Linked DNA regions of Oryzias latipes. Each later gene encodes a partner of the first gene's protein in a complex. Links are inferred from orthologs where the notes say so. Each region holds a gene or a part of one and is shown in the gene's direction. Other genes may lie near its edges.

Region 1 (10,435 bases):
CCCCGCTCAGCTAAGTGTTGAGCCTGCAGTCGACACCAGCGGGGTCCACGTGTTTGGACCGGGGGTGGAGGGGAAAGGTAAAACTCGTTCGGATTCAATGTTGGTTTTAAAGTGAAACTGATTTCATTTCCAAATTTAAAGTATCACTCAGATTACCATTTGATGTATTTTCAAAGAGTTCCCAGGGGTCCTTTCATTATGCTGTTTTTAGCCAAAATCCAAAAACCTGTTGTTTTCTGGGACATAATTTCTGCAGAGCAACAGAACTTCACCTCTGAGTTGTGTGCGTTTGGTTCGCGAATGTTGTAGAGCAGCTCCAACTGCCTTTTTGCATTTCCATTGCTGAGAGCTCTCTGTTTACATGCTCTCCTGCTAGCTAATAGCCCCATCACAATCCCAGCCTATCATTTCTGGTGCAGCAGAAAAGTTGAGCAATATCTGAGCCATCTGGCCGTACGTTTTTGCCAGCTCGGACGAGAAAAATGATCAATGATCAAATGTACGTGGATCAGTTTGTCTGCAAGTCTATGCATCAGAATGGAGCGGAGCAGGGAGCTTATGCCCTGCCCTGCATATTTTCTACATAACAAATATGATCTTCTTCTTTTCGAATTGCTTTGTCTGCTCCCGATTCACGATTTGAAAAAAGAAATGCAATTAATATAAGCTTAATTTTCCTTAAACATCTCCGCCATCCTCTGAAAAATGATACAAGAACAAGTTAAAACACAATTTTCCTTGTAGTGGGTCTTTAAGAGCCCCAACTTTTGCCGGACTGCATACAGGCATTACATCGTGTGTTCTTCCTCTTTAGGAGTCTTCAGAGATGCTACCACAGACTTCACAGTGGATGCTCGCGCTCTCACCCAGACTGGAGGGGAACACATCAAAGCTCTGATCAGCAACCCGTCTGGAAGCTGCACGGACGCGCTGATCACGGATCTCCGAGATGGAACTTACAACGTGGAGTACACTCCGTACGAGGAGGGTGAGTGCAGCTGCAACGCGGTGAAAATTCAGCTGACGCTCCTTTTCCGCCACTGTACTCATCCCACGGGAATGTTTCAGGCCCGCACAGCGTGGAGGTTTGCTACGACGGCTCCCCGGTGCCCAAGAGTCCGTTCCGTGTCGCCGTCACCGAAGGGTGCGACCCGGCTCGTGTCCGCGTGCACGGTCCTGGACTGAAAACTGGCATCACCAACAAGCCAAATAAGTTCACAGTGGAAACCAGGTACATGGCAAAAACAGACCTCTGCAGAGCAGAAAATGAAATCTCTTTTTTTTTTTTTTAAACGTCCCTCACCTTGTTGTTGCAGAGGAGCAGGAACTGGTGGTCTTGGTTTGGCCATGGAAGGTCCATCAGAGGCAAAGATGTCCTGCATTGATAATAAGGATGGCAGCTGCAGTGTGGAGTATATTCCATATGAGGCAGGAACCTACAACCTCAACGTAACCTATGGAGGACAGCCCATCACAGGTCCACTCACACAAACAGACTTATTGTAAAATCTTGAATCATTTCTTCTGGGTTGATGGATCAAATCCTCATCTGAACCTCTTCTTGATATTTCTGTCTGCGCAGGGAGTCCTTTCACGGTGCCCGTTAGCGACACGGTGGACAGTACAAAGGTAAAATGCCAGGGACCCGGTCTGGGCAACTCTGTCAGAGCAAACATCCCACAGGCGTTCACCGTGGACGCCTCCAAAGCTGGAGTGGCCCCGCTGCAGGTCCGAGTTCAAGGCCCCCAAGGTGACGCATCCTTTTACCTGTAAATGCATGTAAAGCATGCCGGTTGTCTCGCTCTGTGTTGACGCCTTCACGTCTGTGTGGGAGAAGGTGTGGTCGAACCGGTGGAGTTGGTGGACAATGGAGACCAAACCCACACAGTCAACTACATTCCCACCAGAGAGGGACCGTACTCCATTAATGTGCTGTACGCTGACGAGGAGATCCCACGCAGGTAAAGCAGAGACGCACCTAAACGTTTAGCGACTCAGTTTGAAAAATTATGTTAAAATTCACTGACAAATGTCTACCTGTACAAACTGAAACGGAGATCAATTCTGGAGGAAAAAACTAATTTTAGCTTAAAAAAAAAAGATTTCCAGATTTTGTAAACTTGAATTTGCCTTTGCCTGCTCAGGCAGAATGTTTCAAATCGAGGCCTTCATCATGCTAGGTCATTAACTTTGAAATGAAATGTCTACATTTCCTGGGCAACAAATCTAAATGTTCCCACTTTTCACGTTTCTAACAGAAAAGATGACCTGGATTTTTCTCATCTTTTAGTTTATGCAGTTTTGGTAACTTCTTTTGATTTCATTTTTTATAAGACTGTGCAAAAGTTCAGGAAAAGCCAAAATCTTTTTAATGTCCAACTAGCTTAAAGTGGTACTCTCCACATAAATAACCTCCATTCCAAAGTAAATGAGTTGAGATTTTTAGAAATCTAGTTTATTTGCCTTTTCAACAGTAGATGTGGAAAAACTTTGAATGATTTGCTCAAAATTGGAATATGTTTTTCAAAGTGTTCCCATTGGTCTTTTAATTTTAAGTCTAACCTCCTCCCCCCCCACCACCACCACCACCACTTCCCCTCCCCGTTGCTGAGAGCTTGGAGGTGGAAGTTTATGGCCCACCCAGCATATTTTCTGTCACATATTTGATCTTTTTCAAACTGCTTTTTTTTCTCTCCATCTGATCCTGATTCACATTAATTTTTTTTTCTAAAGATATTATTTAAAAATGTAGTTTTAACCATAATTTTCTTTAAATATGTCCTCCATCAGAAAAATGCCACAAGAACATGTTAAAATAAAAAAAAACACAAGTTTCATCATTGTAGGTCTTAAAGTTCAAATGGAGAACACACAACAGCTAAATTAATTTGCTTGATCACACACCTTTTGTCAGCAAAGGTCACAGATTTTAATTTTGTCTTCAACTTGTAAAAAAGTGCAGTTTTTGTTTAAAAAAAAAGCTGCAAATCCAGTTTAGCAAACCTGTGGAACACCTGCCTGTTTAGACACCCTGGGAGATAAAATCATCTTTTTAAAATCTGATTCAAATCCATAAGCGCATCAAAACATGAACTAAACAATCTGGGCATCTCTAAACCGCATTTCCCACAAGAAGGCTGGGGAGGGGCAGATGTGAAGGTCAAAGTTGATATGAGTCTTTATAGTGAGTTAATCAGTAAACATCCAGGAGAAACAGCAGGTTATGGATAAGATAATACACTGATACAATCTCCATTTGCAACAGGAAACTTACTCCAGTCTTGTTCATGCATGATGCTGGATGACACATTTCTCATCCAAATGTTAAAAATGTTTTCATTTTTCAGCTCTGACTAACTCGTTGTTGTTCTTCAAACAACCCAAAAGACTTTAGATGGAAGTCTATCTTATTTCCTTTGTTTTTTCTGACTGACTTTATCCAGATTTTCTGAAATGCAGCACATTTGCAGTTTTCTTTTCAGAATTAATTTAACAATTACTGTTCACCTGTTCAATCAGAAACTGGGCTCACTCAATCCAGCTGATAAACTACTAAAGTAGTTGGTATCAAAAGGCAGTACAGGGTTGGAGATGCCTGATCTAAGCGGTCCGTATTCATCCTGTGCACTGTCATGAAATGAAATCCAGCTTTTTCCTGTCCAAACTTCACCTCATTTTTCTGTCAGCCCCTATAAGGTGAAGGTCCTCCCCACCCACGACGCCAGTAAGGTGCGAGCAAGTGGACCGGGCCTCAACACCACAGGGGTGCCCGCCTCCCTGCCTGTCGAATTCACAATTGATGCCAAAGATGCCGGCGAGGGGCTGCTGGCAGTGCAGATCACGGTGAGGACTCTAGAATAAGAGAACCGGTGGATCTGAGATTTCAGCTTTGAAGCCTTCGTCCTCTCTGCCGCAGGACCCAGAGGGGAAGCCGAAAAAGGCCAACATCCGGGACAACCACGATGGGACTTACCTGGTGTCTTATGTGCCAGACATGACGGGCAGATACACCATCCTGATAAAGTACGGCGGGGATGAGATCCCATACTCACCGTACCGCATCAGGGCTCTGCCCACCGGAGATGCCAGCAAGTGCACCGTCACAGGTGAGATCTTTATACCTGAGCCCTTACGGTCATGGAAATGAACACTTTGGGTTTTAGCTTCAACTGGATCAAATAAACCCCAGTTTTCTCAAAGTCTAGTTGGGTGAACTTGGAGAGGGTGTCAGAATCCAGGCCTTGAGGGCCGATGTCTTACATGCTTTCCAACCAACCTGAACAAACTATTGAGGCTCTTATTGGCTAAACACACCTGATTCAGGTAATTCTGCAGCAGACGAGACCGGATTCTTGGACAACCAGTAGGAGGCCGGGATCTTTAAATATGGAAACTTTTTTTTTCTTAATAGGATTTTGATGTTCTGGAAGCTTTGAGACGTTTTTCTTTTGATACCACCAGCAGCTCTAGATGCAAAGCTGAATCTACAGCTTTTTTTCATTCTCATGCTTTAATGTTTTAGACTCTTCACACTTAAAACTAAAAAAGCCAGAGGATTGGTTTTTGAGATTCTTTAAAAACGGTTTTAAAAGTTTAAGTTTGGAAAACATGGTTACATTTTTTTTTAAATATATTGAGTTGTACTCGAAAGTCTTAATAATTATTTAGACAAAAACTGGACTATCAGATCTAACTATTCTGACTTAAACCAGTCTAAAACAGTTCCTGTAATGCACACTTCATGACCCAATTCCTGAAATTAAGTTTTTTGATGAATTATCTAAAGAACAGACTTGAAGTCATCGCTCTTTATTGCTCTAATTCCTGACTTAAGCTTCTCAAAGATGATTTCTATTTAAATGGTCTCCTCTATGATTTGCAGTAGTTTTCTGAAGCGCTTTAGAGGCAAAGGTGACATCGGCTATCAGCCTATAGAGATAAAGCCTGGGATTAAGAGTTTGCTTCAGTTTTAAGTCCCACTCATATCAATTACCTGTTTTAAAAAACAAAAAAAACACATACTAAACATGTTTGCGTCTTTAAATATGGAAACTTTTTTTTTTCTGAATAGGATTTTTCTTTTCTCTGGAAATACAGTTTGAGATTTAAAGAGGATTTTGTAGAGCTGTGATTCAAACTGGAGTTGTTTACCTGAACATAATTGATGGGCTAAATCTGCACATCATTATGTAAAAAACAAATGAATCACTGCTCTTGTAGAAGGCTGCCTTTTTTTTTTTTTTTTTTTTTTAAACCAGCTTTGTACAGCTGCGTTCTAAGGTTCTCTATAAGAATTACCCCAAAGAGCCGGTCCTTCTGCTATTTATTTATTTATTTCTAGACAGTGCAGCACAGTGTTCAATAACATGTGTGCTGCAATACTATCGGCATTAAATTCAATTCAAATCTTTTTATGAGAAAAAAACAAATGTAATCATAAAATTCACTTTGCTAATTTGCTTAACTTAAAGCTGTTCTCTCCACCAAAACTGTCCAACAGATTCATAATGAATTTGTTTTGGGAAAGGATGAAGAGCTTTAAATGTCATATTTTTGTTGGGTTTGTTTATACATTTTTTTTTTTCCTGCATCTTCTGCTTATTTATGGTTTCGTGCATTGTTGTTCCTCCTGCTGTGCTCCTCAGTTACACATCCAAATGTATAAGCACCTCCATACACGCACACCACCCCGTCCTCCACGCTGCACACTCCACCATCACCGTTTGGTTCTCATCCAGGTGTCTGGAGCACAGTTGTTGCTGCTGTCCTCTCACACACGCCCACCTGACTGTCTTTTGTCACTTTTGTTTTTTTTCTTTTTTTTTTTTCTTGCTTCCCCGCTTCCCACCGTTCCTTTATCAGTCTCAATCGGCGGTCACGGCTTAGGTAAGCCCACTGAACCATCTGTGAAGGAAATGCTCTTCTGTCCGCATGGAGGATAGTGGTTCCAGCTTTCTTCTTCCTTTTTCCAACCCTCCTCCCCGACCTGTTTCTGTTCCCCTCTGGTAACTGTGCGTCGTCGTCCTCCTCTGTCTTGTTTTTGTTGGACAGACTAATAGACTAACAGAGCAGGTAAGATTGCATGGTGGAATGGCTCTCTGGCTAATCTAGCCCTCAGTTAAAAAACATGACGACTCTTAACAGAAGTTTCATTGGTAACAGTTTACAGTAGACTGAAATAACATGACTAGATTGACTTTAACAAATCCTCCAGGTTGTGGAATGTGCATGCTGCGTGTTTGAAGCCACAGTTCGTTTCTAAGCTGCTGCAACGTTATCGCATCTTTTTCTTAAAGGCGCTGGCATCGGCCCAACCATCCAGATCGGCGAGCAGACGGTCATCACAGTCGACGCCAAGGCTGCAGGAAAAGGAAAGGTGACGTGCAGCGTGTGCACGCCTGAGGGGGCGGAGCTGGACGTGGACGTAGTGGAAAATGAGGATGGCACTTTTGACATCTTCTACACAGCGCCACAGCCTGGCGAGTACGTAATCTGCGTGCGTTTTGGAGGAGAGCACATTCCCAACAGCCCCTTCCAAGTCACGGTGAGTGGTGTGGAGGCTTGGTATCAGGGCCTTGGAGGGTTTGGGTGGAGCAGGAACTGTGGGGGAACAAAACACTGATTAGACTTGGGATTAGAAATGGATAAAAACATATTTATCAAAAATACAGCCACAAAGGGTAAAAAGTGGGTATAGAAAACAAGATAAATATTTAATCTTTAGGGAAGATTAAAATACGGGGGAAAAAACTGGATGAGCAGTTCTATCTTTAGTCTAAAAACTGGTTGTTTATGGAACCATTTATCATCTGGACTGCCTCCGGTTACTATGATATACTGGTGTTTTGGCTTAGTTATTTTTTATGCAAATGAAAAAATTACCCGTTTGCAGGTATTTTTTTCTGTTATGTAACACACTTTGAAATGCGTCATAAGATGTTTGAATGAAGGGATGCCTCTGTTTAGAAATGTGGGAAACGAAAAGTTTACTCTTCTCATTTTACAATTTCTTTTTTCCTTTTTGATGTAGTGTTTTCTTACATTTTCTTATGCACATTTAATTAAGACACTTTTAGTCCTCCATACTGACCTCATATTGAATTTATAAGGTTTTCGATGTCCATGTAGCAAAATTCTAGGTTCCTTCAAAAACTACAATGGAGTCGGCCCTTTTTTTTTTTTAATATTCAATTTTGACGGCTGCTTTTGTTTCCCGTCGAGCCTTATTGTGTCTTCATCTCCTCACCCCCTGTCCCCCTCTCTCAGGCCCTGGAAGGAGCTCCCTCAGACCAGCTCATGCAGCAGAGCCAAATGGCCCAGTACTACACTCAGCAGCCCTGGGTACCCAAAACCTGTAGCATCTCTCATCCCCCTAACTCCATTTCTCAAACTTCCTTTCATTTAATATCATCCTTCATCCTTTCGTTTCATCCCATGTAGCAGCTCCATCATCCGTCGTCTCTCTTTGCAGGTGTTTCATGTTTCAGGGAGCTTTTTTCTTCAGACAGAAGCTGACATTTTGAAAGTCCATAATGTGGACTTGCTATTGGTTCCACATCTTTCAAAATGGCTCATTGTGGCTGTTTGTCCTTCCATCATGACTTGCATACGTGTTCTCCTCGCAGTGTGTGTTGGTGCAGTCATTACCGTTGTCTCTTCCATTTGTCATTTCATCTCATGATTTTCATCCTGTGTCGGTGTTTGGAAGTTCCTGTGTTCTTTCTGGGATGTGCTGGAAAAATGCGGCATTTTGCTGCACCCTCCTCATCGTTCATCTGTTCGTTTCCCAGGCAACAGACCGGCCAATGGGAATGAATGGTCTGGATGTGGCAGGGCTGAGACCTTTTGACCTCGTAATCCCGTTTACCATCCAGAAGGGCGAGATCACAGGTAACCTTAAATACTTGATGAAACCAGCAGTTTGCCATCTGCATATCAGGAGTGATGAAGAACATTCTCCTCATCTTCTAAAGGTGAGGTCCGAATGCCTTCGGGTAAGGTGGCCAAACCCGACATTACTGACAACAAAGACGGCACCGTCACCGTCAAGTATGCGCCTACGGAGGCCGGCCTGCATGAGATGGACATTAAATACGATGGCATCCACATCCCAGGTACCGCAGAGGCAGTTTGTAGAAGATGGACGGAACAGAGGCAGAATACCTACAGCTGTCATCCTGATATTCACAGGAAGCCCTCTGCAGTTCTACGTGGACTACATGAACAGCGGAAACGTCAGCGCCTATGGCCCCGGCCTCATCCACGGCACCGTCAACAAACCTGCCGTCTTCACGGTTGATACTAAAGATGCAGGAGAAGGTACGGAGCTGTTTTTTGTTTTATTCTTTTGATTGTATTTTTTTAAAACAAGACAAACTCGTAGCAGAACCCCACTCCTCAGAACACGAGAGGCGTCCAAAAGAATTAAACAAATCTAAAATATAAATCTGTGGGGAGTCCACCACATTCTACTTTACTTTTGTTGTAAAGTTATGAAATCAAAGACTGTAAATTAAAGAAAATGTAAACATAAGAAACCCATTTTCTGCCCTGGCAGGAGGTCTTTCTCTGGCCATCGAGGGTCCATCCAAAGCGGACATCAGCTGCGTGGACAACCAGAACGGGACTTGCACCGTGTCCTACCTGCCTGTTCTGCCGGGAGACTACAACATCCTGGTCAAATACAACGACAAGCACATTTCCGGAAGCCCCTTCTCTGCCAGGATAACAGGTGAGGTTCAAACATGGGGCAATTAAAGTCCCACTCTGATCATCTTCTGATCTATTCTGAAAGCCTCCCTGTGGTCTTTTTAAATGCGTTTTTAGACAAAATAAAAAGTCACTGTAATTTTTTTAAGTAGTTTCCTTAAAGCAGCACAAGTTCATCAGAAGTTCAGCTGATTTTTGGCGGGAGTGCGCTTGTGGCCCGCCCAGCGTATTTTCTACGTAACAAATAAGATCTTTTCAAAAGCAGTTTCCAGCTTCTCCCGATTCACAATTTGAATAAATAATCAGAAATTTAAGCGTAATTTTTCTCTGCATGTCCTCTATAACCAGAAAAATGCCACAAGAACACGTCAAATACATCAAAAACACGATTTTCATTGGAGTTGGTCACAAACATCATTCAGAACTTAGGATAGACTTGGAGGAGTTTGTCTGATCTGTGTGGCTCTGATCTGCAGGTGACGACTCCATGAGAATGTCCCAGCTAAAGGTGGGTTCAGCTGCAGACATTCCTCTGGATATTGGCGAGCTGGATCTTAGCCAGCTGACCGCCTCCCTCACCACGCCCTCCGGCCGCGAGGAGCCCTGCCTGCTGAAGATGCTGCGTAACGGACACGTGGGTGAGTGCGACCTTTTGACCCTAGCGAGGAATAAACCCCAAACACAGCTGTTGCTGTAATGCTCCCGTTATCTATGTTTGCAACAGGAATCTCATTCATTCCCAAAGAGATGGGAGAACATCTGGTAAACATCAAGAAGAACGGTCGCCACATTCCCAGCAGTCCTTTCGCCGTCATGATCAGCCAGTCTGAGATTGGTGATGCCAGCCGGGTCCGTGTGAGCGGGCAGGGCCTGAGTGAGGCAAAGACCTTTGAGCTGGCGGAGTTCATCATCGACACTCGGGATGCAGGTAAAAAAATTGTCTCCAAATAAGATACTTTATTTTGAAAAGACGTTTCGACGTTCACACTGAACATCCTCCATCAATGTTCCCTGAAGGGTATGGCGGCCTGAGCCTCTCCATTGAGGGACCCAGTAAAGTCGACATCAACACAGAAGACCAAGAAGACGGAACTTGTAAAGTCATGTATTACCCCACAGAACCAGGAAACTACATCATCAACATCAAGTTTGCTGACCAGCATGTACCAGGTGACCAGTGTGAAAACACGCAGGAGTTCAGAGGTGATGCTTCATGCTGCAACGCTGATCATCTGGTGTGTTCCTCTTAGGGAGCGCGTTTACAGTGAAGGTGACTGGAGAGGGCAGGATGAAGGAGAGCATCACCAGGAAGAGGAGGGCGGCATCTGTCGCCAACGTGGGCAGCCAGTGTGACCTCAACCTCAAGATCCCAGGTGAGACAGAGAATCCTCTGCAGATGGATTAAATGCTTCCATGCGTGTTTTCTGGAATGAATCTGGTCTTCGGTCTTTCAGAGATCAGCATAGCGGACATGACTGCTCAGGTGATCAGCCCGTCGGGTCAGATTCACAAGGCGGACATCATGGAGGGGGAGAATAACACCTACTGCATCCGCTTCGTCCCCACCGAGACGGGAGTGCACACCGTGAACGTCAAATACAACGGCATGCACGTACCTGGCAGCCCCTTCCAGTTCACAGTAGGACCCCTGGGAGAAGGCGGGTCGCACAAAGTCCGGGCTGGAGGTCCAGGTCTAGAGAGAGCAGAGGCAGGAGTACCAGGTTGG
Region 2 (10,435 bases), on another chromosome or scaffold:
CCATAGAAGTCTATAGAAAAATAAACAGCTGTTACTTGGTCATTCTATTGGTCAGAACAACCCTTCTTACTCTGATACATTTCTTAACATGTTCTTGATAATCCTATTTTTTTCATGATAATTTTTATGCAGCACAAGTTATTAAAATTATAAACTGACCAATCAGTTGCCTCAAAAAGTATGTGGTCTCAGTTCTAAACGTTTGATTGACAGATTCTCCTAAACTCGCTTTCAAGTAGTAGGGGTGTGGCCTTTCAATAAGCTCACTTCTGATTCGCAGTTAGTGGTTGCCATAGAAACATTGACTCAGACCAATTCGGACCAATCACTGCCTACTGGCTCCAACATGGTGGCGGTGTATGAATGGCGACTGAATTGACTTAATTTCATAGGAGCCACTTACTCCGTCTGATTCCCATTTACAGTCAATAATTTGACTCAAATCCTTTCAAATGATCATAATTACAATTTGTTTAAAGATTAATGTAAGTGGCAAACACATTAAATAGAAGAATTTTAAATTTAATGTACCAAGCTAAACATTTATTTTAACATCTCCTGAAAGGAAGTAACCTTAAACTCATGTGACCAAATGACAAATGAGGACAAAGACGATTGTTCCCAGAATATCTATCTTCAATTCAAACCAAACTTTATTTATAAATCGTGCTTCTTATGTATTGCGCAGCTAGAGGTGCTTTACATTTAAAGGGCCTATCTTATGCTACTTTTAAGGATTTTTTTAGAGTAAACTATATCCATATATCTTCTTCTTTCTCTTTCGGCTTTTCCCATCAGGGGTCGCCACAGCGAATCATCCTTTTCCACCTCACCCTATCATGAACATCTTCTACCCTAACGTTAGCCAACTTCATGTCCTCTGTTAAGACATCCATGTATCTCCTCTTTGGCCGTCCTCTTGCCCTCCTGCCAGGCAGCTCCATCTCCAACATCCTTCTACCAATATATCCACTATCCCTCCTCTGAACATGTCCAAACCATCTCAGTCTGGCTTCTCTGACTTTGTCGCTAACACAGGCAACATGAGCCGTCCCTCTGATGTACTCGTTCCTTATCCTGTCTAACCTGGTCACTCCTAAGGAGAACCTCAACATCTTCATCTCCGCTACCTCCATCTCAGCCTCTTGTCTCTGTCTCACTGCTACCGTCTCTAACCCATAGAGCAGAGCTGGTCTCACCACTGTCTTGTACACCTTTCCTTTGAGTCTTGCTGGCACTCTTCTGTCACACAACACTCCTGACACTTTCCTCCAACCGCTCCAACCTGCCTGCACTCGCCTCTTCACCTCTTTTCCACAATCCCCATCACACTGAACTGTTGACCCCAAGTACTTAAACTCCTGCACCTTCTTCACCTCAGTCCCCTGTAACCTAACACTTCTACCTTGATCCCTCTCGTTCAGACACATGTATTCTGTCTTACTACGACTGACCTTCATGCCTCTTCTTTCCAGAGCAAACCTCCACCTCTCTAGCTGTTCCTCCACCTGCTCTCTACTCTCACTGCAAATTACAATGTCATCCGCAAACATCATTGTCCAGGGAGATTCCTGTCTTACCTCGTCTGTCAGCCTGTCCATCAGCATAGCAAACAAAAAAGGACTCAAAGCTGATCCTTGGTGTAGTCCCACCTCCACCTTGAACTCCTCTGTCTGACCTACAGCACATCTCACCACCGTCATACTTCTCTCATACATGTCCTGAACTACTCTGACATACTTCTCTGCCACTCCAGACGACCTCATACAGTACCACAGCTCCTCCCTCGGCACCCTGTCATACGCCTTCTCTAAATCTACGAACACACAATGCAGCTCCTTCTGACCTTCTCTGTACTTTTCCATCAACATTCTCAAAGCAAAAATGGCATCAGTGGTGCTCTTACGGGGCATGAAACCATACTGCTGCTCACAAATCTCCACCTTCTTCCTAAGCCTGGCTTCCACTACTCTTTCCCACAGCTTCATTGTGTGGCTCATCAACTTTATTCCTCTATAGTTGCTGCAGTTCTGCGTGTCACCCTTGTTCTTAAAGATCGGGACCAGAACGCTTCTCCTCCATTCCTCAGGCATCTTCTCACTCTCTAGAATCCTATTGAACAACCTTGTTAGAAATTCCACTGCTGTCTCTCCTAGGCACTTCCATACCTCCACAGGTACGTCATCAGGACCAACGGCCTTTCCGCTCTTCATCCTTTTCAGAGCCTTCCTAACCTCATCCTTTCCAATCTCTGCTACTTCCTGCTCCACAACAACCACATCTTCCTCCCTTCTTTCCCTGTCATTTTCCTCGTTCATCAGCTCCTCAAAATACTCCTTCCATCTTTTCTGTACACTCTCCTGGGTTGTTAACACCTTTCCATCTCTGTCCTTAATCACCCTTATCTGTTGCACGTCCTTCCCATCTCTGTCTTTCTGTCTGGCTAGCCTGAACAAGTCCTTATCTCCTTCCTTTGTGTCTAACCTGTCATATAGCTCATCGTAAGCTTTCTGTTTGGCCTTTGCCACCTCTCTCTTCACTCTACGCTGCGCTTCCTTGTACTCCTGTCTACCTTCCTCAGTCCTTTCTACATCCCACTTCCTTTTAGCCAACCTCTTCCTCTGGACGCATTCCTGTACTTCCTCATTCCACCACCAAGTCTCTTTACCGTCTTTCCTCTTTCCAGATGACACACCTAGCACCTTCCTACCTGTTTCCCTGATAATCTCTGCTGTAGTTTCCCAGTCATCTGGAAGCTCATCCTGACCACCCAGAGCCTGTCTCAACTTCTGCCTAAATTCCTCACAAGTTTCTTCATTCTGTAGCTTCCACCACTTGGTCTTCTTTTCTGTTTTCCCTCTCTTCTTCTTCCTGACCTCCAGAGTCATCTTACACACCACCATGCGGTGCTGTCTGGCTACACTCTCTCCTACCACCACTTTGCAGTCATTAACCTCTCTCAAATGACCTCGTCTACATAGGATGTAGTCCACCTGAGTACTCCTACCTCCACTTCTGTATGTCACTCTATGTTCCTCTCTCTTCTGGAAGTAAGTGTTGACTACAGCCATTTCCATCCTCTTCGCAAAGTCCACCACCATCTGTCCCTCCAGATTCCTTTCCTTCACACCAAACCTGCCCATCACCTCCTCATCACCTCTGTTGCCCTCACCAACATGCCCATTAAAGTCTGCTCCAATAACAACTCTCTCTCCTCTGGGGATACTCTCTATGACCTCATCCAACTCACTCCAGAATCTCTCCTTCACTTCTAATTCACAGCCAACCTGTGGCGCATACCCACTGACTACATTCACCATCACCCCTTCAATTTCTAACTTTAGGCTCATCATCCTGTCTGAGACTCTTTTCACCTCTAGAACACTGTTTACAAACTCCCCCTTCAGAATCACTCCTACCCCGTTTCTCTTCCTATCAACACCATGATAGAACAGTTTGTATCCTCCTCCAATACTACGTGCCTTGCTGCCCTTCCACCTTGTCTCCTGCACACACAGTACATCTACCTTCCTTCTCTCCATCATGTCTGCCAGCTCTCTGCCTTTCCCTGTCATTGTGCCAACGTTAAGAGTCCCTATTCTCAAACCTATGTTCCTGCCTTTTCCCTTCTCTCTCTGGCCACGGACCCTTCTGCCTCCCCTCTTTCTTCCACCAACAGTAGTCAAATTTCCACCGACACCCTGTAGGTTAACAGCATCGGTGGCGGTCGTTGTTAACCCGGGCCTCGACCGATCCGGTATGTCTAAATCTTTCTCGTGGATGATTCGCATGGTTATTTTGGCAATTTTTACGCCGGATGCCCTTCCTGACGCAACCCTCTCTATTTATCCGGGCTTGGGACCGGCACAGAAGTTACTGGCTTGCAACCCCTGTGGCTAGATTGCAACCCCTGTGGCTAGATCCATATATGTGATAATATATTACCTTTGGCACACTTAGGAACTATTTTTGTAAATGAAATTATTGGTTATTTTCACAGCTCATTTTCTGAAGTAACACAGCTCATTCTTAGAGTCACTGCCGTCCGCTCCATGTGGGTGCCGCCCATTTAATGACGTCAATCTAGAGTCGTCTTCTGCGTTTCACCCACAAAAACAAGCAACATCTAAAGTTTTGCAAAGATTGATGTCCATGTTGTGCACATCAAATGAAAGCATTTAGCCGATCATCGCTAGCTCAGTGGAGAACGTGAGTGTGTGTGTTAGCCAGGGGGCGGGGCTGGCAGCACAGACTCTTCCTGGAAGGGGCTGTTCTTCCTTTGTGACGTCACAATGTGAGGACCCGCTCATTTTCGTGGGTTGGGAGGGGCTGGTGCTAAAATCTTTGCAACACACTCCAGAGCAGAGTATTCTTGTTTCTGTGATAAGGAACTATCAAATGCTGTATTTGTTTGTGTTTCATTCTCATTTATAGTTTTTTTTTCTTTCTCCTTTGAGAAACTTTATTGTTGTTGATCCATTTAAACTCAAGTCAGGATTGAGCCTCTTTGGACATACAAGCAAAGGCTTTTCAATGCTTTACTTTCTTAGTTTGATCTCTAGCAAATTTCAAAATTCGGTTTCAATAAATTCCCCTTTTTACTTTTACGGGGGAATCATGCTGATAAACGTGTTTTTCTCTCTTAAGGACTTTGCGTCACTGCCTGAAAAAGACAAGACAGCTCTTGGTGAAGGAGGATCGACGCTCAGCGGCGGTCAGAGGGCACGCATCTGCTTGGCCAGGTACTGACTGCACAGCTGTGCATCAGTCTGGGCACAGACCTTTGTTTTCACCAAATGTGGGCACGAATGAAGTAAAAAAAAAAGTTAAAAAGTCCAATAACATTATTTTAAAGTAACATGTGAAGGATTCAAACGGTTTGGGAATTACTAAAAGTTTATTTAATATTTTAGGAATATTAATTTTTAATCATTTTAAATTACAAAGGTACATTTATAATCCAGCTGCTTTGATTATCAGTGGAAATCCAGAGGGAAAAAGGAATTTTTCGCTGTTATCAAAATAGTCTGTCCCTTCACAGAGGATGGTTTGCTTTCTGTTTTGATTGTGTGTGAAAAAACTCCTTAAAATGTTTTACTGTTTATGCAGAAACAAATCATCAGACATGTTCTCATTTTCCTGTGAACGATTTATTAGTGTTATGTTGTAGCAGTGATTTGTGGCCTCTGATTGTTTCTACCCTCACTGGAAAGGGTCAGCTGGAATGATTTACTGTATTTCCTCACCTTTCCTTTGCTTCATGTTTAGGAACAGCTGTGCTCATTGTTTTCTCTTTACTTCAACTCTTATTTTTAATGTTTTTCCTTTGTGTTCTTCTCTGACTGGCTGCATTGGCACTCTGTCTTCCAGGAGTGTGTATAAAGATGCAGCCCTTTACCTGCTGGATGCTCCTTTCACCCACCTGGACATTGCAACAGAGAAAGAGGTCTTTGATAAGTACGTATGCCGACAGAAACTCTTTCAAGCAGCAGTGGGGTGGGAGGGATGCTAAAGTTCAAGGTTAAGGTTTTCTCTTGTTGTTTCATGTTTATTAGCTGTGGTGAGCAGTCGGTCTGTAAGAATTACACTCTGATGAAATGATGTCTGGTGTCATGAGACACCTTATTCTGCATTCCAATATGTGCTTTTCAACAGAAACCGTTTGTATATTTTGCTAAAGATCCATTTGAGCATGCCTCATCCTCTTTCCACAGATGTGTCTGTAAGCTGATGGGCTCCAAGACCCGTGTTGTGGTCACCAGCAAGCTAGAGCACCTCAAGCGTTCAGACAAAATCCTCATGCTGCACAACGGAGAGTGTTACTTTTATGGTACATTTTCAGAGCTGCAGGCACAACGCCCCGACTTCAGCTCCCTCCTGCTTGGTCTTGAAGCTTATGACAACATTGTCGCGGAGCGACGCTCTTCCATTCTCACAGAAACTCTTCGCAGGGTCTCGGTTGACGAAACCGCTGGCTTCCGAGGCCCGGAAGCACTTCGCCAGTCGTTCCAGCACGCGCCACCTCAGGGTCACAACGGGGTTGATGGATACCCTGAAAAACGCAAACAGTCTCTCATCCTTAACCCCATTGCAGCTGCTCGCAAAATCTCCTTTATAGGGAACTCCCAGCAGACAGGCACACTCCAGCCGTCACTCATGGAGGAGGGTGGCAATGAACTTTCCGACAGAAGATTCTCTGTGGTGCCGGAGGATGATCAAGTGGAGGAAGCACTTCCAAGGAGTAACCTGTACCACCACGGGCTGCAGCACCTCGGTGGACAGCGGCGCCAGTCCGTCCTGGCTTTCATTACTAACGCTCAGGGCCAAGACCGCAGAGAGAGGATGCAGTCATCGTTCAGAAAAAAGCTGTCTGTCACACCACAGTACGACCTGGCAACAGAGCTGGACATCTATGCACGGCGCCTGTCCAAGGACAGCGTTTTTGAGATCACAGAAGAGGTGGAGGAAGAAGACATGGAGGTGTGCCCAATACACAGGCTTTTTTTCATGTGTTATCAAATGCAAACAAATGTTCTTCAGTCAACATCTGGGTACAAGTGTCTCTTCTGTTTTCCACAGCAATGCTTTGCAGATGAGCGTGAGAATGTCTTTGTGACTACCTCGTGGAGCACTTACCTCCGCTATGTTTCCACCAACAAAACCCTGATATATGTCCTTATTTTCATTGCTATTGTTTTTGCCATTGAGGTAAGATTCAAACCCTTTTCAAGTCCATGCTTTTAAAGTTGTGAGCATAATATGAACATCTCTGTCCTTGTCTCCACTGATAGGTTGCTGGTTCAGTCATTGGTATTTTTCTCATAACAGAGTGAGTGTCAGTGTTCCTCAAAACTGAAATAAAACTCTTCATTGTCAAACAGAAATCTAGTTTTCAGAGTCTGAGATATTTGTTTTGGAGTGTTTGTTGGAGTTTTTTGGAAATGTTTTCCTTTTCACATTATGTTTAATTATGAACCTTATCAATGGTAGGTTTCTAGAATTAAGTGGATGTTTTGAACCTTAAGACAAAATGTGATCATTTTTCCGTTGAAGCATAGCGTGACTTTCTGTCTTCTGCTCTGTTTTATCAGTAAAGTCTGGAGAGATGGTGCCAACCCAAACTCACCCAACTACATCGATGATCAGCCCATCAATTCCTCGTCCCCCCCGGTCCATCTGGCAGTTATTGTGACTCCGACCAGCGCCTATTACATTATTTACATCTTTGTGGCCCATTCAGACAGCATACTGGCCCTCGGAGTCTTCAGGGGCCTTCCTTTGGTGCACTCACTGCTCACCGTTTCCGAACGACTTCATGAGCAGATGCTGAGCGCTGTGCTGCGCGCCCCCATGTCCGTGCTCAATTCCATTAAAACAGGTGCCCTTTTCTTTGTTTTGATGTCATATTTACCACTTTTGAGTAACCACACTGACTTCCATTCTCACTGAAGTGGGGTGTAAGGCTAACTTGGATATGTCTGTGTGTTTTAGCTCGCATAATGAACAGATTTACCAAGGACATGGCCATTATTGAAGACATGCTGCCTCCTATGCTGTTTGACCTCATACAGGTATTGTACAATAAAAATGTAACCAAAAATTTCAATGCAGGCAAAATCCTATCTTTGTAGGTTCAAATGAAGATCAAAAAAAGGGTTTTGGTGCTGGTTGGTGCAGTCACCTCTTGCTTGTTCTTTGTTTCTTAAAACTATCCAGTGCAGTTAAATTCATCTGCAGTCAAAATGCTCTTATTTTGTTCAGAAATATGGCGGATGCAGGATGGGGACTTGAACATGACCCTTGGTCTTTAATTGCATTTCATTCTTAAAGGCTGGAACTTGAGACTTGACTCCAAACCATTGACTGTACATGAGAACTGGACTGAGTGAGTGGGACGTCACCCATAGAAAAGGATTTACTTCCGTCTCCAACCAAATGAAGTCATTTTTTTCTTTTTTTAAAATACTGATGTCGACATGCTGGAACCAGACACCATCAGTAAACAGTGATTGGTCCAAATCAGACTAAGTCATTGTTTCTATGGCAACCACTCTCACCAATAAGGAGTGAGCTTTACAGAAGTTCACACCCCTACCTCTTGAAAGCGGGCTTCACAAAATCTGCCAATCAAACGTTTTAAATGTTGAATGTGAGACCAGCTGTTTTTATTGAGGCTCCTGATTTCTCAGTTTATAACTTAAAAAACTTGTAACAAAGAAAAAGTATCATGGAGAAAATAAGAATCATCAAGAACATAGTAAAAAATGTAGCAGGGCCAAAATTATTATTCTGACCAGCAGATTGACTAAATAACAGCTGTTTATTTCTCTATAGAAGTCAATGGGATTTTGGCTTCTAAGAACCAGCAGGTACTTCCTGCTTGGAGCAACAAGGGGGAGCAGTCACTCAGTCTCTTTCTCATAGAGAGTCAATGATCTAGACTAGCTCTGTGACTTGTGAACAGAGTAGTCAACCCCTGATTGGAGGATTGCAGGTTTGGCTCCCGCCCATGAATCAAAATTTCCTTGGGCAAGACACTGAGCCCCACAATGCTCCTGGTGGTGGTTACACGTTGGCGCCAGTGTTCAGTAGTTGAGCCGCCATCAGTGTGTGTGAATGGGACTGTAACTGAAAAGTACTTTGGGCCTTTGAGCAAGGTAGAATAGAACTTTACAAGTGCACACCATTTATTTCATTTGATTCCATTTCAATTCAAATACAGATTGGGGAGTTGATTTGAACTTGCAGGTACTGTAGGTCTTGTAAGCATCTTTGAAAAAGGGGGTAAGTGAAAAACCTGCAAGCATTTTTCTTCATTCAACACCTTCCACCACCGTTCAAGGAGGCCCAAAGTGCTGTACATAAAGTTACATCAACAAATAATATGACGATAAAACAAAGAAAAGGATCAAAACAATTAAACAAGAGTTAAAAGCATAATAAAAGGTCACCTAGGCAGATAATGAGGCACGTAAGTGGAGGAACAGTTTCTTTAAAACTGTCCAAGAGGGTAGCTTCTATAATAGCCTACAACAACCTAAATAACATTCCTTCCTTCATTTTTTGGATGCCTATGTATTCTTTTATTCTATCCATAAAATGCAAATGCAAAGAAACTATTTTTGTGTCTCATTGCTGGGTACTGACAGCCACATGATGTCTAGTGCAGAGTGGACTAAATTATGCTTTCTGATGGAACAAGTACTTTGTTTGAACCACATTTATTTGGTCATCTTTTATTTTGTCGTATATGTGGTTTTGAATTGTAACTTATGCTCTCCTATCACACTCTTTCTCTCACCTTAGTTAACACTACTGGTCATCGGATGCATCTTCACCGTGTCCATCATGCGACCTTACATCTTCATAGCTGCCATTCCCCTGGCTGTCATATTTGTTGTCCTGAGGAAGTACTATCTACGAACAGGACAGCAGCTCAAACAGCTGGAGGCTGAAGGTAAATAAAGGTCCTTTGTCTTAAAAAGTGTCTCTAAACTGCTGCTGCTGATGATGTGTCAGTACCAACCCCCCGTCTTCTGTCTCCAAAATTAACACAAAACAAGTGTCAAATAATCCAGTTCCTCAACAGATTGCTGGTGTCAGAAGGGAGAAAATTCCTACTGACTCCCATGTTGGAAGTGGGGTTTATTAAGAAACATATACCATCTTTTCCGCAGTATAAGTCGCAGCAGCCTAAAATACATAATAAAGAAGAAAAAATCTTATCGCCACATCACCAGTCAAACAATGCAAAACATTGTGACTTATACTCCAAAAATATCATATACAGTCGGATGCTTTTATTTTTAACTAGTCAATCATTTTACTGCTCAAATGTGGTATTATTTGGGTCAAGCAGGGCCACACTCTGGTGCAGAGGTTAGCACTCTCACCTCACAGAGTGAAAGCCCTGGTTTGTGTGGAGTTTGCACGTTATCTCTGTGCAAGCGTGGATTTTCTCCTGGGACTCCAGTTTCCTCCCACAGTCCAAAAACCTTCTTCATAGGTTAACTGGTTACTCTAGAGTAGGGGTGGGCAACCATTTTGACTCGTGGGCCACAAAGGCTTTTTAAATTTGTCAGAAAGGCTGGATCAGGAGCAGATCTGTGTCGTGTTTTGATAATCCACCATGAAAAATTTCATGGAGTCTGGACAAAAATAGGAATCAATTTTGATTAAAATTTTTTAGATACACATTAAACAGAACATTTTAGAGCTATTATTTTAAAACTGTTTTTTTTTTCATTTTCCCACCAATTGCACCAATGATGTTCTTCATTAAAAACACGAACTTTGAGAAATGCTGCGTTCGTGTGCTTTTGGAATGATTGGAAACATGACTGCCCCACTTGAAAAACATACATAAACATTAGAAAAACTCTTCCAACACCACATGAATACAGAATGTATTTCTGCACCTAAAACACGTATTTGT
Region 3 (10,535 bases), on another chromosome or scaffold:
TGACTCGCTTTCAGGATGAACAAGAGACCAGCTTAAGTAACAACGAAGAGACGTCCAGCCACAGGACATGAGAGAAGAAACTTCGGTCAGAAGAGACTGCATCAAAACACTTTTAGTTACCCTTAAGTGTTGATGAAACAGAAATCTGTTGGTCACTGCAGAGATGTAAATGTGAATCTTGGTTACTGGTAGTTGTTTTGGGCTGAAGCGCCAATAAAAGCAAATATTTAAAAGAAAGAATAATCTGTGCCACAACTTCTTGACCTAACAATGATTTGGGAAAACATGTTGAGTAACAATTGGCATGTGCGCACAACAGTCTCTGGGATGTTCAGAAATGTTCTAAATGCAACCACTTGGTTTGGTGTTCATTTTTCCATGACTGGATATGCAAAAGCTTTGATTTTTCATACAATTTTTAAGACTATTTGATCTTTGCAAAGATGTAAAACCTTGTTTTTAGACATTTAAATTTTGCAAGATTTAAAGTAGTTTTAAATTCTCTTTGCTGTACACTTTTCCAAGTGTCTGTCAGAATCAGCCCAGTCCCAAATTGTCTCTGTAAGAGGATCTAAAATTAAGGACATTTTTGATAAAAACAGTCTAAACCCTTTTGCTCCAAGCTCCCGACATTTTTTTCACATTTTGTTTTAACATTCGTGTTTTCCGCTTAATGTACTGGTTATTGTCACTTTGTTCAAAATCATCTTCAATTAGATACATAAAAACTCATAAGATACAAACAATTTGCTTAGAACTACCAATAAAAATTAGAAGGAGCAGAATTTCCAGCAGAAAATGCAGGGTTGAATACTATATTGCTGAATACCGTATTTTCCGGACTATAAGTCGCTCCGGAGTATAATTCGCACCAGCCCAAAAATGCATTATAAAGTAGAAAAAAACACAGATAAGTCGCACTGGACTACAAGTCGCATTTTGACGGGAAATTTGTGTGACAAAATCTGAGACCAAGAACTAATAAGTTCCACAACCTCATATGACACAATCATAGCAGACTGTTTATCTCATAATTTCACAGTAATTCTTTCTCATACTTGTTTATTTATTCCTTTCATGAAGCATCATTGTCCAACTAATACTCTGTTTTCATCCTGTATTTGTAGAAACAGTTGTCATTTTTATTGCATTTCTGAATCTATGAAATCATTGGAAAATAAAATATTATGTTGTTAGCCTTCAAGATCTTAATGTAAAAAAAGGTTTGCTGATTCTCTGAGTCATTTAACATACTCTTAACACTTAACATACCTCAAACATCAAATTTAGCCAGGAACATCATCTCTGTTCCTCACAAATGAACATAACAGGAGGGTTAACAATGTATTTATTTCAATTTAGTTCTAATATAAGTCGCTGCGGAGTATAAGTCGCACCCCTTGCCAAACTATGAAAAAAATGGCGACTTATTGTCCGGAAAATATGGTAAATGCTGCTACGCAGTCCTGAGAAACTGTTTAAACAACCAGGAGCGCACAACGCAACAAAGCACCCTCCCCTGCCGCGAACACAAAGCTACGATCCTGGCCGCACTGCTCCTAGACTTGTTGTTGTGTCTTAGCAGTTGGCCACACCGAATAAGCACTGACGTCATTGCTCCGCCTCCCTCCTGGAAATGCTGTCTGGAATTGAATTATGGGACATGTTTCGCACGGTAGATGAAAAATGAAAATGCAACCCCATCTTTGCATTATCGCTTTAATTATGTCACAGAATAAGCGGTGTTGAAGAACAAAAAGGAAAAAGCATTTTGGTGGATTGATTTTTCTTTTAAGATTTGAGTCAACAAAAGCAGGTTGATTTTGAAAATGAAAAAGCATTTTTGGTATTGACTTTTATTTTTAATTATGCAACAGAAAGGCTTCCATAAAAACCAGCAAGCTTCTGCACCAAGGATTCCGCATGTGTTTCAATGGAGGCAAAAGTCCTGGAAATCCTGGAATATCTTGAAAAGTTCAAGGATTTGAAGGAGCAAAAGTCATAGCTGGAAAAAGCTGAACTTTTTAACATCTGAATGGTTAAAATAGCTGATAGATTGTAGGAGCTAAGTGGCAAAAAATGGTTGAAGATACTAAAATAAAGAAAGAAAAACAGGGAAACAATTGGTTACCAAATACTAGTTATTGGCTGTATGACATAACTACATATTTGAAGTTATGCTTTCTAACATTAGCTTTTTTCCTCACAGGTCTTGTGTTGAACTCCTTGTTTCTAGATTTTTGGAAACATGAGGAAACACAAAAAATAAAGGTAAAGCATTGTTGTGTGTGCGTTTTTGCTTGGACTTTGTTCAGAAGAATCACACCTGTAGTTTACTACTTTCTAGTTATTTATTAATCAAGATTAGTCTTCTCCAATTTTTTGGCTACCTTTTTATGTAATTCTACAATCTGTTACCTCGTAGAGTTGACAAGTAAAAACTTTTGTGCATTTTTATAATTAATAAACATATTTTGAAAGTAATAGAAAAAACCAACTGTCTTTGCTGTGAGGCGTATCAACTTGACAAATGTTTGACCCCTGATGTTCGATGCAACAAAAAAGATTGAAGTTTCTTCAGCTGAACAGACACAATACACTGAGGAAAGAATCACAAGGTTCTCTTTCTGGCAGCAGCAAAAAGAGTTTCACTTTGCAAACAGCATTTTTGAGCAATGACACAGCATGTAAAAGCGGGGGCTGTGATACCTCCATTACTGACTTTTTTGAGACGTAGACACTTGCAGTTTTGCAGCTCTTCTCCATAGAGGAGTTTAGCTGCATGTGTTTTCTCGTGTACAATGTGTTTTTCATTGTTTCTTTGGCTTCTTTACTTCTCTTAACCCCCCCCCCCCCCCCCTTCTTTTTTAAGCTGTAAGCAAAAGGAGTCCAAAGGCAGTGATGAGATGAAGACTTTTGTGAGGCATGTGGGGTGTTGAAACGTGGAGGTCCGGGAATTGTCTCCTCTCTGAGCATGTTGTGTCTCTACTGGGCATGCTCCCCTCTGCAGTCATGACATCACAGCAGCATTCCTTTCCAAAGAGCTGGAACAACAGAGACCCCCATCTTTCTCCTCATTGCCACCTCCTGTTAACCCTCGCCGTGCTTTCCCTTTCTATATAAAGCGTGAAAGCTGGTTTTATCACTCCATTCTTTTTAGCAAATTTAGAAAAAGTCAGGCTATAGGGCTTTGGCTGCTTGGTCAATTTATAGATATAAAAAAAAAACTTGTGGTAGTCCTTATGGATGGGCTTCATTCAGACTAAAACGTCTCACAATGCCTTGATTCAGTGCACTGTAATCCTGCTCCTGTGCACCAAAGCTTCACCAAAATAGTCCGAGGAAGTTCACCCCAATCCTCTGCGCTCTGTGCTGGATGTCTTTGTGGCCCCAGAAGAGGCGATGCCAAAAGACGCTGATAGTGAGTGAAGTGATATGATTTTGTGGGGGGAGGGGAAGAAGGAAAGAGGGAGAAGAAAAACGAAGGCAGACCCAATGAGGGCTGCAGGACCAACAACAACACACAAGGTTTCAGAACAACAAAAGCTTTTAGGCTGCAAAAGTCACGTCGAGTCACATCCTGCTGACCTCCAGAGAGAACCATCTGGGAGTGTTTTCTACGGTGCCAAAGCAAATACCTTTGTGACACTTCGTTTGAAAAAGCGCTCCTCTATCTTCTGCATGACTTCAGTGCGGTTGCATAACCTGCGGTGTGTGTGTGTGTGTGTGCATGCATGCATGCACGTGTACGTGGGCTTGCGCGCTTGCCAGCCTTTCATAGTGAATAAATGTGTCATGGTTTTTACTGCACTTCGCCAGAGATTAACTGTTCACCTTTTACGGTCTGGAGGGAGGTGGCATTGTCAGGAGGAGGAGGAGGGGTCAACAGATGGTAAAGCTGGGGAGGGAGGGAGGGAGGGAGGGAGGGAGGGAAGGAGGGAAGGAGGGAGGGAGATAAAGGAGGAAAAGGAGTGGCCTTCTGGAGCCCCTCTCCACCAAGAGTGAAGTCTTCTGCTCGTGGGAGGGAAAATAAACCAGAAGGTTTGAGATCCAGAGAAGGAGAAAGAAGGAGACAAAGGGCTGTCTCTGAGCAACCTTTTCCCCACAGGTACGTATCCATAACATGCAATACCGACTTTTACAATGTGTGCTTTTCTTCCTCATTATTTTCTCATTGTGAGAAGGTTCTCTGAAGCCAAAGATGAAGGAGCTTATTCACACTAGAATTACTGATTAAATGACTTGTTTATGAATATTTTTTCCTGTGTGATGAAAGCAGAAAGTTTCCCAAAGTGAGTCACAACTGTTGACCTGTTCTCCTGTCAGTGTGGATGAGAGCTTCTGTCCATCATGGCATCAGCAGCTCCCCCAAAAAGGGTGGTGTCTTCTGTCTTCATCACTTTGGCGTCTCCTCATCGGGCCACTGTCACACAGCGGCAGCCCTCCCTCAAAGCCTACAGCTTACAGCTGGGCGCAGAAACCCAGGACACCAGCCCGGCTGGCGGTTTACCCGGCCCCAGACACAGGACGGAGGACCACTCACCCTCCGACACCCGCGGTTCTGTAAACGGCAAAAGCTGGACTCATGCAAAGGCCAGGACTCCTACACCTGCACAAAGCGGACAACAGGAAAACGCAGACCAAACAAAGAGATGCTCACCAGGTATGTAGTGCCAAGTATCTTTCTTTTTGAAATGCATTTAACAAGATCAATCCAAAGGCACGGTGCACAAAATGTTCTGGTATGATAAAGTTTAACTCCGTAATCAAAAGTCTTACAAAAAGAACAAGTGCAAGTGTAAGAAAGGAGGATTTAGGAGGAGTGGGGCACACAATCTGCAGCAGGAAACTATAATTAGTGTGCAAATTCGTTATTTCTGATGATAGCTAACAACTGTTGTGGTGACAAGAGGGGAGCTATGAAGTGGTGAATGGATAAACAGGAAACAAACCAGACCCGTCGTGAGTTTGTGAGTCTATCGGTGACTAATCACACCTCCTAAAGTGAGATTGAGCAATGTTGTTTTACAACACCTGAGTGGCAGAAATGGAAGTAAACTGAGAGGGACACAAAAAGACAGATGTGTAACTTTCAGTGGAGATCTGATCAGTGCATCAGTCGTCCTGGCGGTCTGATGCGACAGGCAGCATGAAGTGGATTCTGCTCCTTCTGTTCCTTTTTCTCAATCCTACATGAAACCTGATTGGGCCTTTGGGTCTTCCGTCTGCCCATGAGCACCGAGGTTTGTTTTCACAGTGATTACAGGAATGCAGGCACTGTAAAGTCAAGAAAACTTTGCACTCTCATATGCAGAGAGCTGAACTGTTTGCAACACGCGTGTTCAAAGCAATCATGACGTCATCATTGCATCAGGAATCAGCCAACCTTGACTTGATAGACTTGGTACCTGAGAAGCTGAAAACAGTAATGAAGCAATATCTAAAACAAAGAACAAAGTAAAAAAAAAAAACTGTGATCCTATGGGTTCATAAAATGTTGTTATAGAACTCCAACTGCATGTGTAACTTTGAATAGTTTGTCTTGGCTGTTCAGACCATTGACTGTATAAGAGAACTGGACTGAGTGAGAGTGACATCACCCATAGAACATGACTCCAACCAAATGAGAACAATTCAGTCACCACTCAGTGGGTCTGAGTCATCATTTCTGTGTCAACCACTCTCACCAAACAGGAGCCAGCTTGATGGAAGTCCACACCCCTAACACTTGAAAGTGGGCTCAGGAGAATCTGTCAATCAAACATTTCAGATTTTAGACGTGGGGGCCGGTGGGCACCGCATGTCTTTTATTGAGGCAATTGATTGGTCAGTTCATAACTTGAATAACTAGCAATAAAGAGGTAAAAAAAAGAGGATTATCAAGAACAGGTTCAAAAAGGTATCAGACCCAGAATGGTTCTTCTGACCAATAGAATGAGTAACAGCTGTTAATTTCTCTAACAACGTCTATGGGATTTTGGCTTCTTGGAACCATCAGGTACTTCCTGTTTGGAACGCCACGGGGAAGAGTCACTCAATCCAGCAGTCAATGGTAGCAACCGCTTATTCATCTTACTGCGTCCTCTGCACACACCAGTTATTTAAATAGCTTTACTGACCTTCCTTTGAATACATTATCTCATAGTGATTCAATGTGAATTTCACGCATTGAGGCTTTGGAACAGATATGTATGTTAGCTGTTTGGAGAAATGCCTCTTTATTCTACGCTGACAAGGTGCAGAAAACTCTTTTATTTGTCCGGACTTGGGTAAAAATTAAAAGGGAAATACTTCACTGATCTTCATCCGACATTAACTGCTCAAGGCTAAACTGAACTGAAAGCATCAAAGAGAAATGTCAATCTGCTGGCTCAATTGATTACTCAATGTTTCACATTTTGTGAAGGAGAGATGTCTGTCTTATTAATATTTAGTTTTCTATTTTAGCAGGGTTTTTTTTCTTTTTTTTTTACAAAGTTTTTAAATGTATTTGTAGAACAAACTGTGAATTGTAGATCTGTAAAAATCTAAACAAGAATTTTAAATGAACTTCTGAAATATCTCTATTTAAAGGTTTAGCCAATTTAAAATGTTTTTGGACCAACACATCCAACTTTAGGAAGATTATAACAATGGCCAAGTCAGTATTTGTCTTTTCTATTTGAAATGTTGAATGGGTTTGCAAATAACAATTTGTTTAACATTTTAAATTTAGGTTAGCAATATCTTAGCCTCCTAGTCTTCTGAAAAAAGTCCACGTCAAAGCAATGCTTGTTCTTAATTTTTGTGTTTCCTGATGTTTCCAAACCATCGACGTCCCGCTGTCAGCCCACCCGAGAGATTAGAGAACTCGATTGAGATTGTTGATCACAAAAACCTCTAACGGTGATTTTGCTGTTGATCCTGTTTTCACTAAATGACATCAAACTAGGACGTACTTTCTTGCTTCTCATTAGGGCTCTTTCTTCCTCCTCCTCCTCCTCCTCCTCCTCCTCTTCTCGATGCATGGCGTCCATCTCCAGAAGATTCAGCTCTTCTGCCAGCCCCTCCAGCACAGACTCATTCTCATCATCGACCCTTTCCCCCACATCAGCAGCCAACATCCGAGAAAAAGGTACTCGAGTTTATCCTTCAATGTTACTTTCCAAATGTCCAGTTACTGTTACTTCAATTGACAACAACATGATGAGATAAAAGCTGCAGTACAGATCTGGAGATTTTCATTTCTACACGGCTGTTGTATTTGTGAACCTGCTTTGACATCATCGGGTTCAAAACGTTTAGCTGAGGGTGCAGAGATGCATGGATGCAGACATCCTCTGCTCTCTGCATTAATATTTGATCCTTTGTAGTAGGATTAGGGGATGTCATCTGGACTTGGTTTTAATGTTGGAAGACGTTTCACCTCTTATCCAAGAGGCTTTGTCAATTCTGAAATAGCTGGTCTAAGAGCTGGTTAACGACTCAGGCAGAACTGGTTTGGTTTGTTTAGGTTTCAAAACACTGCCGTAGATGGATGGAAGAATAAACCTGAGACCACCATTCTTATTAAGAGGAGGTTAAGGATGCTGGTCTCAGGTTTATTCTTCCATCCATCTACGGCAGTGTTTTGAAACCTAAACAAACCAAACCAGTTCCACCTGAGTCGTTAACCGCTGAAAGAGACGACCAATTTGGAGAGGGAGTCACTGACTCCCCAACCCCCAGCTGAGGACAAAGGTATATTAACGACCCAAAACCATGTAGGCTAAGTGGACAACACCTCCAGTTTCAGGTCTGACTCATCCCCCATGAACGCATATATACCAGCTCTTAGACCAGCTATTTCAGAATTGACAAAGCCTCTTGGATAAGAGGTGAAACGTCTTCCAACTTTAAAACCAAGTCCAGATGACATCCCCTAAACCTACTACAATGGAACCAACCTGGATGAATGAGAGTCTTCATAGACATATTTGATCCTTTATGTTTTTCGCCTGCATAATTTAATATAAACACTTTACAACCCTTATGCTATCTTGTGGGGTCCAGATGACCCCCCCGCCCCCCCCTTACATTGAGGTGTTCTCCCCACCATGACAAAGGTGGATAAAGGTGGACAGATTTCATGTAATCCATGGTCACCAGTGAAGATCACAAATCATTGAAGAAAAAAGGTTCAGAACACTGTCTAGTGGGTCTAGATGACCCCATTGCCAACGTTAACATGCCTCTGAGGCACTTTAACGGTGGCAATGGGGTCATCTAGACCCCACAAGATAGCACAAGGGTTAAAAAAAACAACAACAAACGAATAGGAACAATTTCATAAACTGTGGCTTTTTCAGAAGATTTATATAATCTTGTGACGATGTCAAGCATAGCTTCATCTTGTTAAAGCAACATTTTTTCATGTATGCACTGCATATAAATAAGTTCAAATTCTTTAAGTTGAAACATTTTCTTTAAATAAGCAAAAGAAAAAAAGTCTGCCAATGGGGTGAGAAAAATTGTCTTACCAAGAATTCCTATTTTAAGAAAAAGAAATTCTAGTCACTGAGACATGGTTTTTGCAAACTTAGATTATTTTGCTTTTGAAAATACTTTTTTGATAAGATTGTTTTTTGGTGTAAAGTCTATATGTTTGTGATTTTCATTAAAGGTGGAAACAATCACACCACCTAGTGGGATGAGAAAAGAGGAAGAAGCCAATGGAATGAGAAACAGCGGTGGAGAGGAGGCAGTCAGGGAGAGCGGCGGTAACTGCGATCTGTTTGCTTTTGTGTGCACCCGCACATCGCTATGACCTACTTTGACGCTCTGCTCCCTTTGCAGACTTGTGCGGCTTTTGTCGGAAACCAATAGCCCTTTTTGAGACTGCCATCGATGCCCTGAACAGGACCTACCATGCTGGTTGTTTCCAGTGCAGATCTTGTCACATTCCGCTGGCTGGTGAACTCTACTACAACAAAGCAATGATCCCCATCTGTCAGGAATGTTACCAGGTAGGTCCACGTCAGCTAAACTTTACAGTGATACACGGGGGCAAAACAGAACAAAACCTTATGTTATCTGTTTCTGGGATTGATAGCTCCTTCCATTTGAAGGTAAAACCAAACATAAACATTTCTTTCTGCTCAAGATAAGGAGACAAAAATATCAAATAGCGACTGATGAAAATTGTATTTTCTGTGGTTTGAACATGTTCCTATAGCGTTTTTCTCATGATGAAAGAAAACTAGGTTTAAAATAGCATTTCTGAGTATGTCACAGCACTTAAAAACAGCACAATCTTATCTAAAAGACCACTGGGAACGCTTTTACAGTAAATTAAAAGATGATCTGAGTGGGTCTTTTAGAAAAGAACAATAACTCATGTCTAATACTGTTATGGATATTTAACAAGTCTTTTAAAACCCTTTTTTTCTATCTCAGGCCAGTTTGGAGCTTTGCTGGGCATGTGGGGAGGCCATCATAGACGACATCATCCATGCACTGGAGCGACCATACCACCCTTCCTGTTTCACATGCACCACATGTCATCAGCAGATCGGTGAGCAGACTTTTGCTCAAGGAGAAGTCGGAGAAGTTTACTGCCTTTTGGACTACTACAGGTATGAAGCAGTAAGTCATTAAGTGAAAATGATGTCAAAATTATTTTTTTTAAAAAGAACATTTTTGATTATTTTGTTTCTTGTTTTTGACTTGCTACGTCATTCTTCAACATTGATACATGAAAAGGGTACAAAGATAAGAAGACATAATGTTTTCTGTCCTGAAAATTGTTGTTCTTAAAGGAAGTATGCTCCTGAGTGTGGCGTCTGTAATCAACTGATCATTCCCAAAGAAGACGGTACTGACAGCTACATTATTGAATGTCTGGGTCGTTCTTACCATGAAAACTGCTTTAGGTGTGAGGTAAGCATCATCCACACCAGGGGTCTGCAACCCTGTGACTATTTTATCCCTCTACTCTGGATCTTTGACTATGAAGGAAAATACGAATCATATGAACTGTCACGGCTGTGGCCGTATTTGGTTTTGTTTTGTTCTGTGTTTTTTGTATTATTTCTGTATCAGAGTGGGACTTGTGTTTTGTGTGGAGCTTTGGGTTTGTATGTCTTTGTTTGTGATTAATTTCAGGTGTGGTGGAAAGGGCGTGGCCTCCCAATCGGACCAGCTGGTGGAGGCAGCCTTTAAAGCCACCACTTGGACCTCCACACCGTGGGGAAGGGAGCCTTGCTGCAACAGTCTCCACTGCAGCTTGGCCCTCTTCTCCATTTTGGTTTTGATTTCACCTCTTGTTTAGTTGTGTGTTGCACTTTAGTATTTTGTATTCGTAGTTCTTTGTAGTTCGTATTGTTTGTGCCCACTCTGATTAGTCTTTTGGTTTATAGTTATGTTAAGTGAAGCTGTAGGGGTGAACCGCCATTTTGTTTAGTACATGTTTTCTCCTGTTTTTGTTAGGTTAGGGAGGTTAGAGTTTTGTCTTTATTTTCCTTTTCCTTTGTACAGGTATGATTACATGTTTCAGTTAGTTGGGGTTTTGTTTGTTA

What was found.
Region 2: the proteins of filamin-A (region 1) and cftr are in contact, whole or in part, in a crystal structure (PDB 3ISW), measured with the Homo sapiens proteins. The link is inferred for Oryzias latipes from reciprocal best matches to the Homo sapiens genes FLNA and CFTR. Residues at the interface, in NP_001104026.1 of Homo sapiens: Thr2263, Gly2267, Ala2268, Gly2269, Gly2270, Leu2271, Ala2272, Ile2273, Ala2274, Val2275, Glu2276, Gly2277, Pro2278, Ser2279, Lys2280, Ala2281, Ile2283, Ser2284, Phe2285, Asp2287, Phe2311; in NP_000483.3 of Homo sapiens: Ser10, Val11, Val12, Ser13, Lys14, Leu15, Phe16, Phe17, Ser18, Trp19, Thr20.
Region 3: the proteins of filamin-A (region 1) and fblim1 are in contact, whole or in part, in a crystal structure (PDB 4P3W), measured with the Homo sapiens proteins. The link is inferred for Oryzias latipes from reciprocal best matches to the Homo sapiens genes FLNA and FBLIM1. Residues at the interface, in NP_001104026.1 of Homo sapiens: Met2207, Gly2208, Thr2263, Arg2264, Gly2267, Ala2268, Gly2269, Gly2270, Leu2271, Ala2272, Ile2273, Ala2274, Val2275, Glu2276, Gly2277, Pro2278, Ser2279, Lys2280, Ala2281, Ile2283, Phe2285, Cys2293, Glu2306, Phe2311; in NP_001337080.1 of Homo sapiens: Lys7, Arg8, Val9, Ala10, Ser11, Ser12, Val13, Phe14, Ile15, Thr16, Leu17, Ala18, Pro19, Pro20.

What each region holds. Positions count from the first base shown.
Region 1 is NC_019865.2:4,652,399-4,662,833, forward strand, and holds part of filamin-A, read left to right. Parts: coding exon 1-77; intron 78-814; coding exon 815-988; intron 989-1,068; coding exon 1,069-1,231; intron 1,232-1,316; coding exon 1,317-1,477; intron 1,478-1,582; coding exon 1,583-1,750; intron 1,751-1,837; coding exon 1,838-1,961; intron 1,962-3,686; coding exon 3,687-3,843; intron 3,844-3,916; coding exon 3,917-4,106; intron 4,107-5,862; coding exon 5,863-5,886; intron 5,887-6,296; coding exon 6,297-6,544; intron 6,545-7,266; coding exon 7,267-7,341; intron 7,342-7,790; coding exon 7,791-7,890; intron 7,891-7,973; coding exon 7,974-8,114; intron 8,115-8,190; coding exon 8,191-8,319; intron 8,320-8,557; coding exon 8,558-8,731; intron 8,732-9,185; coding exon 9,186-9,347; intron 9,348-9,433; coding exon 9,434-9,637; intron 9,638-9,726; coding exon 9,727-9,879; intron 9,880-9,959; coding exon 9,960-10,082; intron 10,083-10,163; coding exon 10,164-10,430; intron 10,431-10,435. UniProt on the Homo sapiens protein: Promotes orthogonal branching of actin filaments and links actin filaments to membrane glycoproteins. Anchors various transmembrane proteins to the actin cytoskeleton and serves as a scaffold for a wide range of cytoplasmic signaling proteins.
Region 2 is NC_019864.2:3,331,527-3,341,961, forward strand, and holds part of cftr (cystic fibrosis transmembrane conductance regulator), read left to right. Parts: intron 1-4,647; coding exon 4,648-4,742; intron 4,743-5,370; coding exon 5,371-5,457; intron 5,458-5,714; coding exon 5,715-6,480; intron 6,481-6,579; coding exon 6,580-6,708; intron 6,709-6,791; coding exon 6,792-6,829; intron 6,830-7,091; coding exon 7,092-7,378; intron 7,379-7,491; coding exon 7,492-7,571; intron 7,572-9,306; coding exon 9,307-9,457; intron 9,458-10,435. UniProt on the Homo sapiens protein: Epithelial ion channel that plays an important role in the regulation of epithelial ion and water transport and fluid homeostasis. Mediates the transport of chloride ions across the cell membrane.
Region 3 is NC_019863.2:1,775,397-1,785,931, reverse strand, and holds the start of fblim1 (filamin-binding LIM protein 1), read left to right. Parts: upstream 1-3,974; 5' UTR 3,975-4,108; intron 4,109-4,326; 5' UTR 4,327-4,350; coding exon 4,351-4,663; intron 4,664-6,956; coding exon 6,957-7,114; intron 7,115-8,641; coding exon 8,642-8,738; intron 8,739-8,814; coding exon 8,815-8,984; intron 8,985-9,414; coding exon 9,415-9,593; intron 9,594-9,776; coding exon 9,777-9,897; intron 9,898-10,535. Other genes in the region: tmem82 (transmembrane protein 82), read left to right, coding at 15-71. UniProt on the Homo sapiens protein: Serves as an anchoring site for cell-ECM adhesion proteins and filamin-containing actin filaments. Is implicated in cell shape modulation (spreading) and motility.